Linked DNA regions of Xenopus tropicalis. The protein of the gene in region 3 interacts with the protein of the main gene of each other region in a pairwise test. Links are inferred from orthologs where the notes say so. Each region holds a gene or a part of one and is shown on either strand. Other genes may lie near its edges.

Region 1 (3,755 bases), on a different chromosome or scaffold from region 3:
CACATTTTTGCGGGCGACTAATCTCCCCGCAATGCCATCCCACCAATCTCCCTGCAATGCCATCCCACCGGCAAGAATGGAAATCGCCGGTGAGATGGCATACGTGCCACTATGATTTCTCAAAGTTGCACGACTTTTGAGGCAACTTCGGGAAATCGTAGCGACGCGTATGCCATCCCACCGGCAATTTCCATTCTTACCGGTGGGGTGGCATTGCAGGGAGATTAGTTGCCAGCGATAATGTGAGCCACTCCCCTTAGCAGCCATGACAAGTAGCTGCTACTAAGTAGCTCTGTGTGTCTTCATCCTAAGGGTGAAGACACAAGGAACTACTAGTAGCAGCTACTAAAATAGATAGTGCTGATCATATACTGATAATTGCCTCTACATGTGTTTTAGCATTGGCAATTCTCAGTATTGTCTATGGCAGAGTATATTCTGGAGTTTAGTAGCATTGAAAAAGTAGCTCCTACTAGTAGTAGTAGTAGTGTCTTTACCCTAGGGTTGCCCAATCGGACATATTAATTAAGGAAATTAAGTGTTTTCATGCTAATACATCATACCATTTGCAGTCTAATATTCAATAAGAAACAGCTTTCAGATCACCGCAACAACTTTAAAAAATTTAAAATGTAGTTATCCATTCAGCATCTACCACAATCGGTAACTCATACTTTAGTACCTTGCACCCAGAGAAAATAAACTATTTATCCCTCAAGCTCCACTCTTTAACCTGATTTATGGGTGATCTAACATATGAGATGGTACCAAATACTAAAGGGTAACCAAATCGTGGCTCTTGGGTATCACCCACATGGCAAATTGCACTGTATCCTCTATTGATAAACAAATAAGGCTTCTATTAAAGGAACAGTAACACCAAAAAATGAAAGTGTATAAAAGTAACTAAAATATAATGTGCTGCTGCCCTGCACTGGTAAAAGTTGTGTGTTTACTTCAGAAAGTCTACTATAATTTATATAAATAAGCTGCTATGTAGCCATGGAGGCAGCCATTCAAAGGAGAAAAGGCACAGGCACATAGCAGATAACAGATAAAACACTATTGTATTCTACAGAACTTATCTGTTATCTGCTTTGTAACCTGTGCCTTTTCTCCTTTTTTCCAGCTTGAATGGCTGCCCCCATGGCTACACAGCAGCTTATTATATAAATTATAGTAGTGTTACTGTAGCAAACACACCAGTTTTACCAGTGCAGGGCAACAGTGCATTATATTTTAATTTCTTTAAAGCTCTTTCATTTTTTGGTGTTACTGTTCCTTTAACATGTTCTTTGCCTGTGCCCTTATAGGATCAGTGAGATCACTTATGCTTAAAGGAACAGTAACACCAAAAAATCAAAGTGTATAAAAGGAACTACAGTATAATGTACTGTTGCCCTGCACTGGTGCATTTGCTTTAGAAACATTACTATAGTTTATATAAACAAAGCTGCTGTGTAGCCATGGGGGCAGCCATTTAAAAGAGAAAAGGCACAGGTTACATAGCAGATAACAGATAAGTTCTGTACAATACAATGGTGTTTTATCTGTTATCTGATATGTAACCTGTGCCTTTTCTCCTTTTTCCAGCTTGAATGGCTGCCCCCATGGCTACACAGCAGCTTATTTATATAAACTATAGAAGTGTTTCTGAAGCAAATTTTACCAGTGCAGGGCAACAGTGCATTGTATTATTATTACTTAAAAACATTTTTATTTTTTGGTATTACTGTTCCTTTAATAAACTGTAGTGTGGCCTACATCCCATAGGAAAACCAGAATCATTTACAGCTGTCACTGGGGTTCTTGCAAGGTCAATAGCTGCTCTCAGGCTTTATAATGTATGCAGGCCCAGCCAGGACAGAAAAGCCCTGCTTAGGTATATACAACCTGTACTGGGGCAAACAGGTGATCTTTAGCAAGTGACTTTAGTACATATGAAGTTGTAGATAGCTAAGCATCCCTGTACCAAGAAACCTGTGACCCTATCAAGCCCCCATAGGTGCCACAGTAAAGAAATGCCAAAGTGCAGTGCCACCCTCGCTGGCAGCCCCATATCCATTCCCCCATATATGCGCAGAAGGCGCAGCTGGTGCGGTAAATGCGCCTAGTTCTGCGCAGTATCTGGGCAGACTGGGGGAGCCGCAGTAGTGAGGCAGGCAAGGCTGCAGGAGAGCAATACTGCTGCTAGCACACATGCTTCTCTTACACTGTTGTGACAGGCGACGATGTCTCCATGCTGTTGGCTGGGGATGCGCTACTGCGGGGCGCTGTTAGCACCATTCCACGGCCAGTGAAGCGGGGAGCCCGCAGCAACAGAGCACAGCAACCCCGGTTCCCTTATCAATCCATGGTCATCCGAGGACTCCCGACAGCGCTACCAATCCGGAAAGCGAAGCCTATTGTGTCGGTTTTATACAGCTTCCCTTTCCAGCTCTTTGGTTTCACTTGTCCTTAATGTAGCGGCGCGGCTCTTGGGTACTCGCTTAATCCAGCAGAGGGGGAAACTACTCAATCCCAACCCTTCCTTTGCCGCTCCTCCACTCTGTATGAACTACTGGTTACCTTATACTACAGGCTTATCAACATCCTGAGCCTGTGCTCCGTCAGCCAATTAGGGTGGTGCTATAAAAAACAGGTGTCTCCCTCTGCTGGTGGAAGACTCCACACATGTATTCGCTACAGATCGTGCAGATCCCTCAGATTTCAGGCTCTTCAGCGGTCAAGTTGGCTTTGGGATACTGAGCGATTCGCAAGCGCTCCTCACACATTTTTAAGACACGCCACATTCTCAGTAGCGTAACTATAAATGACTAGGTCCCGCAGAAAAAATACACTCTGGGAACTTAACATGAATTGTTAAGTTGTATTTGTATTTGTTAAGTTGTAAAAGATGTATTAAATCTGTGTTATCAGTTAATGTGGGGCTGCACTTATTGCATTTCAATTCAACTGAAATCAGGGCAGGCTTTCTTGCTGGATTTTCTAAATGTGTTGATGAATTTACAAGAAGTATGGTAACCCATGCCCCTGGCTCCTGGGGACCTCAGCAGTGGTAGGGTCTGTTTCCTCAGTACTTATGCTCCTGCCCTAAGGAAGCCAATCGACATGTATGTATGTATGTATGTATGTATGTATATTTTTATTTATAAAGCGCTACTTATGTACGCAGTGCTGTACAGTAGAATACATTAATACAAACGGGGTTAATAAGATAATAGATAAATACAAAGTATAACAATAAATACAAATAAATACAAGATACAGTTACAGTTGCAATAAGTTAAGAGTCAAAGACACAAGAGGATGGAGATCCCTGCCCCGTAGAGCTTACAATCTATAAAATGTTATGCACTGTGTGGAGAGTTACACATTTTGACGGTGTAGCAAACATTTTTGCAGTTCAATGCCCTCTTTTAATTCCCATGCCAGTTTCAGCAGAGATGACAACCATGTTTGAAACCAGACTTAATTTACTTTACAAATGTTCCCAGAAAGAAAGGTCACAGAGGTTTGTGACTCCTTTGTGTACAAAGTACAGTGGCCCCAACAATGTATCAGTGGACCCAGCATTTCATGATGCAGTGGCCTAGCCATATACAGTGTTGGACTGGCATGCCATGGCCCACCAGAAACCTTAGGGAAGTGGCACAAGGGTCGCACTGTGACAAATCTCCGTTGTTAAGTGAGACTAATCTCCCCGCAATGGCATCCCACCTGCTAGAATGTAAATCGCTGGTGTGATGGCAACT
Region 2 (3,570 bases), about 74 Mb from region 3:
ATAAATGTAGAACTACACTTATGCATAGACACACACAAAGCTGAACCCTACCTATGTGCATGTTTGTTCATTTTTGTGTACAGTGCAATTGTCCGATATTGTGTACTATCTATCTATCTATCATCATCTATCTACCTATCTGTAATTATCTATCTCTATCTAGTGTCTGCCTGTCTGCCTCTCTATCTACAAGATACACTTATCCAAAACAGGAATGCATGGACACACACAAAGCTGAACTACAGGTATCTGCATATTTGTTCCTATTCCGTGTACACTGCAATTGTCCTATATTGTCTTACATACACTGTCTATCTATCTATCTATCTATCTATCTATCTATCTATCTATCTATATCTATCTATCTATCATCTATCTATCTATCTATCTATCTATCTATCTATCTATCTATCTATCTATCTATATATCATCTATCTATCTATCTATCTATCTATCTATCTATCATCTATCATCTATCTAAAACAGAAATGCTTAGACTCACACCCACTACACACTACAGTGTCTCTCACTAATACCCATACCTGTGTATTTTTAGACACCCACTGACACACAGTTGTATCCCCAAATCCCCCTGACCAATCACTATTTGCTCCTTACCGGGTTAGGGGGTTCTTCGGGTGCCCCCGGCTCTGACATCTGCACTGTGGCGGTTCCCGGGTAGAGAGGACTGTGCGACTTGGCCGCTGCTCTCTCAGTGCACTGTACTCCCAGCCGTGTGCGTCACCTGGATAGAGCAGCGCCTGGAATTTAAATGCAAGTGTAGGGCCGATCCATCACCAGTTAGTGTAGGCAAACTTTATCTGTCGCTGCTGCCATTGGCTGGCCTCTCCACGTGACCTGCCCTCACTGTACATTCATATGATTTTGTGCTGGACCTATGGAGGAAGTGAGAAAGTTGGCACGGCCACGCCAGGCTCTGTGTCACAGTCACCTAGTGATAGATGGACTATGCGAGGATGAGCTCCTTCCTAGAGTACCCGGGCTTAATGAGCGGCGACCTCGGGACCTGCTCCTCCAGATCCTTCCACCCCGACCATGGAATTACAACTTTCCAGTCGTGCGCAGTCAGTGCTAATAACTGCAACAGCGATGATCGTTTTGTGGTCGGACGAGGGGTGCAGATAAGTTCTCACCCCCATCACCACCACCACCAAGCCGGTGCCTTTCAGCACCACAACAACCTGGGGATGTCTTATACTCATACCAGCTGTGGCTCCAACTATGGCATGCAGAACTTCAGCCCCGGCTACTCTCATTTCCCCATCAATCAAGAGGCAGATGTGAGCGCAGGGTTCCCCCAATCTGTCTACTCCGGCAACATCGCTTCGTCTGTGGTCCAGCATCACCAACACCAGTCTTACATCGAAGGATCCGCTCACTATATCCACCATTCCTACGGACCTGACCAGAACATTTCTGTGGCCAATTACAATAACAATGTATCCAGCCTACATATCAGCCAGAGAGAAGTTTGCCGGTCTCCTTCCAGCGAAACATCCCCGGGCCCTGCACAGACCTTTGACTGGATGAAAGTAAAGAGAAACCCACCCAAAACAGGTAATGTCTACCCTTTCTACACCCACTTACTCTATTAAGGCGCCCTTGTTTTATCAAGTAAATCTTTATCTATCATCTATCTATCTATCTATCTATCTATCTATCTATCTATCTATCTATCTATCATCATGATCATGATCTATTATTCTTTATGTTGATGTTGCCCTATAAGTTAGTGGGTGGGGGTACAAATGGAATGTAACAGTTTGTGACTGTATAATACAGTCAGTAACGGTAGAAAAGGCACCCCCATAACACTGGGGTTGTTGGCTGCTACATTTCTCACATTCCATATGGATTATAACCCTGACTTTTTTTATTTCAGGTAAAGCTGGGGAATATGGCTTTGCCGGCCAGCCCAACACAGCCAGGACCAACTTCACCACCAAACAGCTGACAGAACTAGAGAAAGAATTTCATTTCAACAAGTACTTGACCAGGGCCCGCAGGGTAGAAATTGCTGCTGCTCTACAGCTCAATGAGACCCAAGTAAAAATCTGGTTCCAGAACAGGAGGATGAAACAGAAAAAAAGGGAAAAAGAAGGACTTCTCCCCATCTCCCCATCAGCCAGTACAGGAAGCGATGAAAAGTCAGAGGAGCTGTCAGAAAAGTCCAATTCTTCACCCTGTGCTCCATCTCCTGCCTCCTCTACTTCAGATCATCTCAGTACTTCCGGTTAGAAGGCTGAAGGCATTGCCTGTGCTCGATTGATCAACCAAAGCCTTAGCAGTGATTTTAGTTGTCTATTGTTTATGCCAGAATTTCAGCTGGTACCATTAAGATTATATTTTTGCACAAGTTTGAAAAGTCATTTTCGTTTTGAGCTAAAATACCCAAGTTAACTAAAACCTGTTTTGGCATGTGTCACACTAACTGTCTCTTGCTATGAGCTGCTATGGACAATCCATATGAGGGACATTCCTGCTGGGACTTTTTACTGGGAAATCACTGGTTGCAGATCCTCAAGGACTGATGCACTACTAATAGAGAAAAAGTTTACACAAGTTAAAAGACTTCTATTTAATTTAAAGTTCTATGGTGTCTGTATGTGAAAAGAGTGTACATATATTGTTCCAGAGATTTATCTTTCAAGTGTTTTTGTAGAAATTCTAATAATTATCAGATGGTGGAGTGGTTGGAAGAATCTCAAAGTTTTCTAGCACAGGAAAAGACAGCAGTGTTTGCTGACCGCATACCTCAGTAATCTCTCACATTTACTAGGTGTTTACAGTCATGATTTTAGGTGAATATTGTGTGTTTTGTTTGTCAGGAAATCGTGCTAGATCGTCCAGTATCCAGGGTATTTATCCAAACAAAACCACTCGTTCTCTGATCCAAGAGAAACGCTTCTAAATCGCCTTTAAGTGAATGTCTTGTAAGACCAAATGTGTGTATAATTTGTGATTCCATCGCGAACCCTTGCATGACACCGAATGTAAACTGAGTTTTATCAGTTGGAATTTGTCAATAAAACATTTGTATGCTACCTCTGACTAAACTAGTGTGCATTTTATTGGGCAGCATGTAAAAGGTTAAAGAATTTCCATCAAAACCAGGAGGTCTTGTAGATGAGGGTCCCAGGGCAAAAAAGTTGTAATTCATAATCACAACAAACGCAAAAATTGCGTCTCCCGGCAGAGCGAATTTAACTCTTTGCGCCAACGTTTCGTTTTTATTCGTTTTGCGCCATTTTTATGGGTTCTCCACTATCTCCTGTCTAACAACTGTAGAAACACCTTGGGTCAAGCTCAGCTGAACTTTTCACCCCAAACTCACTACTGACATGTGTAAACACTGGTGCCTGACAAAAATGCCAGACGCTTCTTCAACCAGTCTTTCCTCACCTCCTCCCCTATAAACACAAAGCTTCACATCTTTGGGAGGCTCGAGGGATATATTTTCAGTTTCTCATCCCACCCCCTCAATAATAAGAACATTATTCTGAAATCTATCTAATCCCCTGTCGTAAAGTACTTATTAAATTATTACTG
Region 3 (3,755 bases):
CATACCGGTATAGCGGTATGTTCAAAAATCATATCGTTTTTTTTTCAAAAACCGGTATACCGGTTAAACCGGTATACCGCCCAGCACTACTTAGGTTTACAAAGCGGTCTGCAAATCTTTATCAGCAGTTTTCAAAATTTAAAGGAGAAGGAAAGGCTAGTAAAGAGTTAATCTCAAGCTGCAGGCATACCTTCAGTTGTCTCAATAATGCCCTTAAGTCTCCCCACATTTCTCCTGTTCAGATGATCAGAAGCCAAACAGGAAGAAAAAACCCTAAGCTGTGTAAAGAAAGTTCCCATAATGCCTCACTCCTGCACAGACACCGAGACCACTGAACATGCTCAGTTAGTAAGACTATGAGTCAGCTTCCTGCTGATTGGCTCAGATCCACATTCCTAAGGGGGGTTGTGAGTTCTTAACATTCTTGAGGGAGGGGGGAGAAGGAGAGAGCAGAGAGCTGAAAGCTGCGTGTCTCTGGCACAGGAATTACAGACACAACTAATCTTTTTTCAGAGAAGTCAGTGCAGTGTTTCTGTGAGTACTTATGGCTGTATTTACATAGACCTTTCTGATAAAGCTTACTTAGTTTTTACTTCTCCTTTAAGACTGTCCCCGTAGATAAAGAGCAGTGACTGGGGGGTGAACCTGAAGGCCAAGGTGGGATTTAGGGAAAATGCCTAAATCTTCTCCTAGATCAGTGCTGTGCAACATTTTCTTGGAAAAGTATGGCCACGACCATAATGTGACTAAATGACTAGCGTGTCCCTATAAGATGACGCCTGGGACAGCTAAACTAAGCTGTGTCCAACACAGCTGCTGTATGGTAAATGTCCTGTGTCTACAACAGAGATAGATTCAAGTTCTGGTGGCTCATAAAATAATAATAATAAAAACAGAGTAAGTAAATTTAGAGTTGTTAATGGCTAGATTTAATTATATGCGTCACCTGTAATTAGCACTGACCAGTTGATTATATGTGCTGATTATGAGAGACACAAGTAAATATAAATGTCGATTTACATTTTCGCCGGTGGGATGGCATTTCGGGGAGATTAGTCGCCCGAGACACAGGAGATTTGTTGCGGGCGACTAATCTCCCTGTGTGCCAGAGCCCTTAGAATCCGAACCAAACCACTGAAAAAAGCTACAGATGCAGAATGTGGCCTTCAGATGGACATATACATACACAAACCTGCATTCACAGATATATAGTGCCACATAATGTTTCCCCTACACACACCCCCAACCAAATGATCACGTGACCAGAAGCATGCACCCACAATACTGATCCTGACTCACATTAAATAAAGTGTGCTAACCAACGACGTTCAGCAGGCAGGAAACCCAGCCTGCAAATTACCAGTTTGTAAATTCCACTGATGTAGGTGCTTATTAATAGAAATAGTACTTTTGGCATGGCCACATTCATGTAATTCTTTAGGCTGCCACCTTACACGGTCAACGGTAAAAATGTCACAGAAAAAAGTCACTTTAACTTGTGATCTTCCTCCATTAGAGGTGTCTGTAGCACCTTCCCTAAACTCATCTACACAACTGTGCCCAAGGTCTCTCACACTTCCTCCTGTCTCTCACCTTATTTAAAGACGATGTTAGTGAAACCAAAGGCCTAAAACACATTTTTTTAACCCTACATTAATGTCTATACCAGATAATCTGGTGTTTAAGAATGCCGTTCGGTCACATGACATGGCTTAGTCCTCCCAAATCCCTTCTGGGTATTGGGGACTCAAAATAGGCAAATGGCTCAGCGGAAACAAGATTTTAAAGGAATCCAAATCACCTCACTTGACCTCTGGCCAATGCCATGGCACCTATTGCTCTATGGATGGTCCCACCATTAGAAATAGCCACACAGGAGAGCGCTGGGCAAGCGTATGTAAGAAATAGAATGGCAAAGTTAGTGAATAAAGAGGCCAAAGTGAGTGAGACAGAAAAGGTGGATTTGTATTACTTAGTCATATCAACCAACTACCCTCCTGTGTTTCTCAAAAAATGTCTATATCTTCTATTCCCCCTTTATGGCAGCTTTTAAGACCCTCAAATGAACATGGGGCCCCAATAAATACGCCCTTTATGCCCCAACTGGAGCTGGTCCCCTAATGGGGCGTAATCACTGGCATAACCAGACATCATTGGGCCCACAGGAAAATTGATATTGGGGACCCCCTAAAATTAAATAAGAATAAGCCCTTCACAAACATTCAGTGAAAGTGTTTATGAGCGGCCCACCCGGCCTCAGGAGTCGCACCCCCCCCCCCCCCCCCCCCTTCCTTAATAGTTCCACCCACGGCCCGTACTACCGCCCAATGAGCTGCCGGGGGGCTCCGGCTCCAGTCACACCTGGGGGACACTGAATGGGCACACCTGCCTGGGAAGCACAACAGCGATGGGGGGGGGGGGGAGAACAAAACTGAGTTGTATGGACCTAAGGGAGGATAATAACCACCCTCTGCCTTGCTGCTGGTGGGACAGCCCAAAATAATGTTTCTGTGAAGAGAAGCTGTAAGGGGGACACTTACCTGCCGGCAGGAGAATAACTCGAAGTGGAAGCCCTTCCCGTTAGTTGCTAACTAGTCCTCCCCACAGCTGCCTTCTCCCGACCCGTCTCTTCACAGCACTGACGTCACGGCACGGAGATGGCGCTGACGGAAGACAAAGGCAGTCGCACACTCGGGCAGAGCAGGGGAGAGCACAGGGAGGAGGGGTGGGCGGGGCTAAGGCGGGAGCAGGAAGGAGGGGTGGGCGGGGTTCAAGGCGGGTGACGTCATTTTCCGAAAAGTCGGCCCCGTGACTGTTGCCAAGGGTAACGGGAAGTTGAAGACTCCGGGGTGGGGTGTTGCTATTTTAATATTCCCATTTCCTCCATTCTTGTTTTCATGAGTTAAACACAGAGAACACAGTCATTTGTTAGGAGCTATCCCCTACCTAGCCGGGAAAAAGTGCGACCCCGCCCCCCCAAGATTGTAAAGGGAAATTTATTGTGCCGGGCCCGGCCCCTTTTTCTTCTGGGTTTTTATTGATATGTAATTTGTATGTTTTATACCATTCTGCTATACAGCACTGCAGAGTGTGTTGGCTCTTTGTAAATGTTTATAGTAAAGGGGGAATGAATGTCCATCACTAGGGTTGCAGGCTGGCTAGTAAAAAATATATAATTAATAGGGAAAACAAAAAAATATAGAAAAGCTGGTGTTTTCCCAGAAAAAGTGGGAGCCCTACCCCTCACACGCATTCTAATAATAACAGGACTGACACAGGGCTGATGTGCCTCCCACACTAACCAACATGCAGTGCAGCTTCTCTCTGTCCCAGCTCCTATACCTAGCCCCTATATACAAGCCTGGGGCCCATAACAAATTTACTGGCAACATACTTGTCTGTAAATTTATGATAACTATTCCATCCACCCCAGGCCTGCCTCCCATCAGCCCTTGCAGCTTCCAAAGAGACTAGCTCTACTTACAAAATGGCCTTCCAGTTCAGCCTGACTACCCTCTTGCGCCATAACCCTTTCCCTTTATGTCACATCCCACTCCTTTGTGCCCACCCTGCTCTCTCATAGCTCCGCTCCTGCCATTAAAATAACTCTTCAAAGGTGGCAAAGCTATCATGGATAAGGGTTGCTACCTTTTTCTGTGGCTAGTACTAGCATTTGGGTTGGTGGGCGGGAAGTGACATTTGAGGGTGTTGCAAGGGTCAGGGAAATGGGCAGACTGGGCAGGGGAAAGGTGCAT

The links. The genes of interacting proteins can lie anywhere in the genome.
Region 1: the proteins of sdcbp (region 3) and klhl2 interact in binary tests that used the Homo sapiens proteins (3 or more experiments, as listed by UniProt). The link is inferred for Xenopus tropicalis from reciprocal best matches to the Homo sapiens genes SDCBP and KLHL2.
Region 2: the proteins of sdcbp (region 3) and hoxa1 interact in binary tests that used the Homo sapiens proteins (3 or more experiments, as listed by UniProt). The two-hybrid records come from large-scale screens. The link is inferred for Xenopus tropicalis from reciprocal best matches to the Homo sapiens genes SDCBP and HOXA1.

Annotation. Positions count from the first base shown.
Region 1 is NC_030677.2:51,361,982-51,365,736, forward strand, and holds the start of klhl2 (kelch-like protein 2), read right to left. Parts: upstream 2,590-3,755; 5' UTR 2,287-2,589; coding exon 2,213-2,286; intron 1-2,212. UniProt on the Homo sapiens protein: Substrate-specific adapter of a BCR (BTB-CUL3-RBX1) E3 ubiquitin ligase complex that mediates the ubiquitination of target proteins, such as NPTXR, WNK1, WNK3 and WNK4, leading most often to their proteasomal degradation.
Region 2 is NC_030682.2:42,135,390-42,138,959, reverse strand, and holds hoxa1 (homeobox protein Hox-A1), read left to right. Parts: upstream 1-920; 5' UTR 921-962; coding exon 963-1,578; intron 1,579-1,903; coding exon 1,904-2,259; 3' UTR 2,260-3,065; downstream 3,066-3,570. UniProt on the Homo sapiens protein: Sequence-specific transcription factor. Regulates multiple developmental processes including brainstem, inner and outer ear, abducens nerve and cardiovascular development and morphogenesis as well as cognition and behavior.
Region 3 is NC_030682.2:116,370,676-116,374,430, reverse strand, and holds the start of sdcbp (syntenin-1), read right to left. Parts: upstream 2,644-3,755; 5' UTR 2,541-2,643; intron 1-2,540. UniProt on the Homo sapiens protein: Multifunctional adapter protein involved in diverse array of functions including trafficking of transmembrane proteins, neuro and immunomodulation, exosome biogenesis, and tumorigenesis.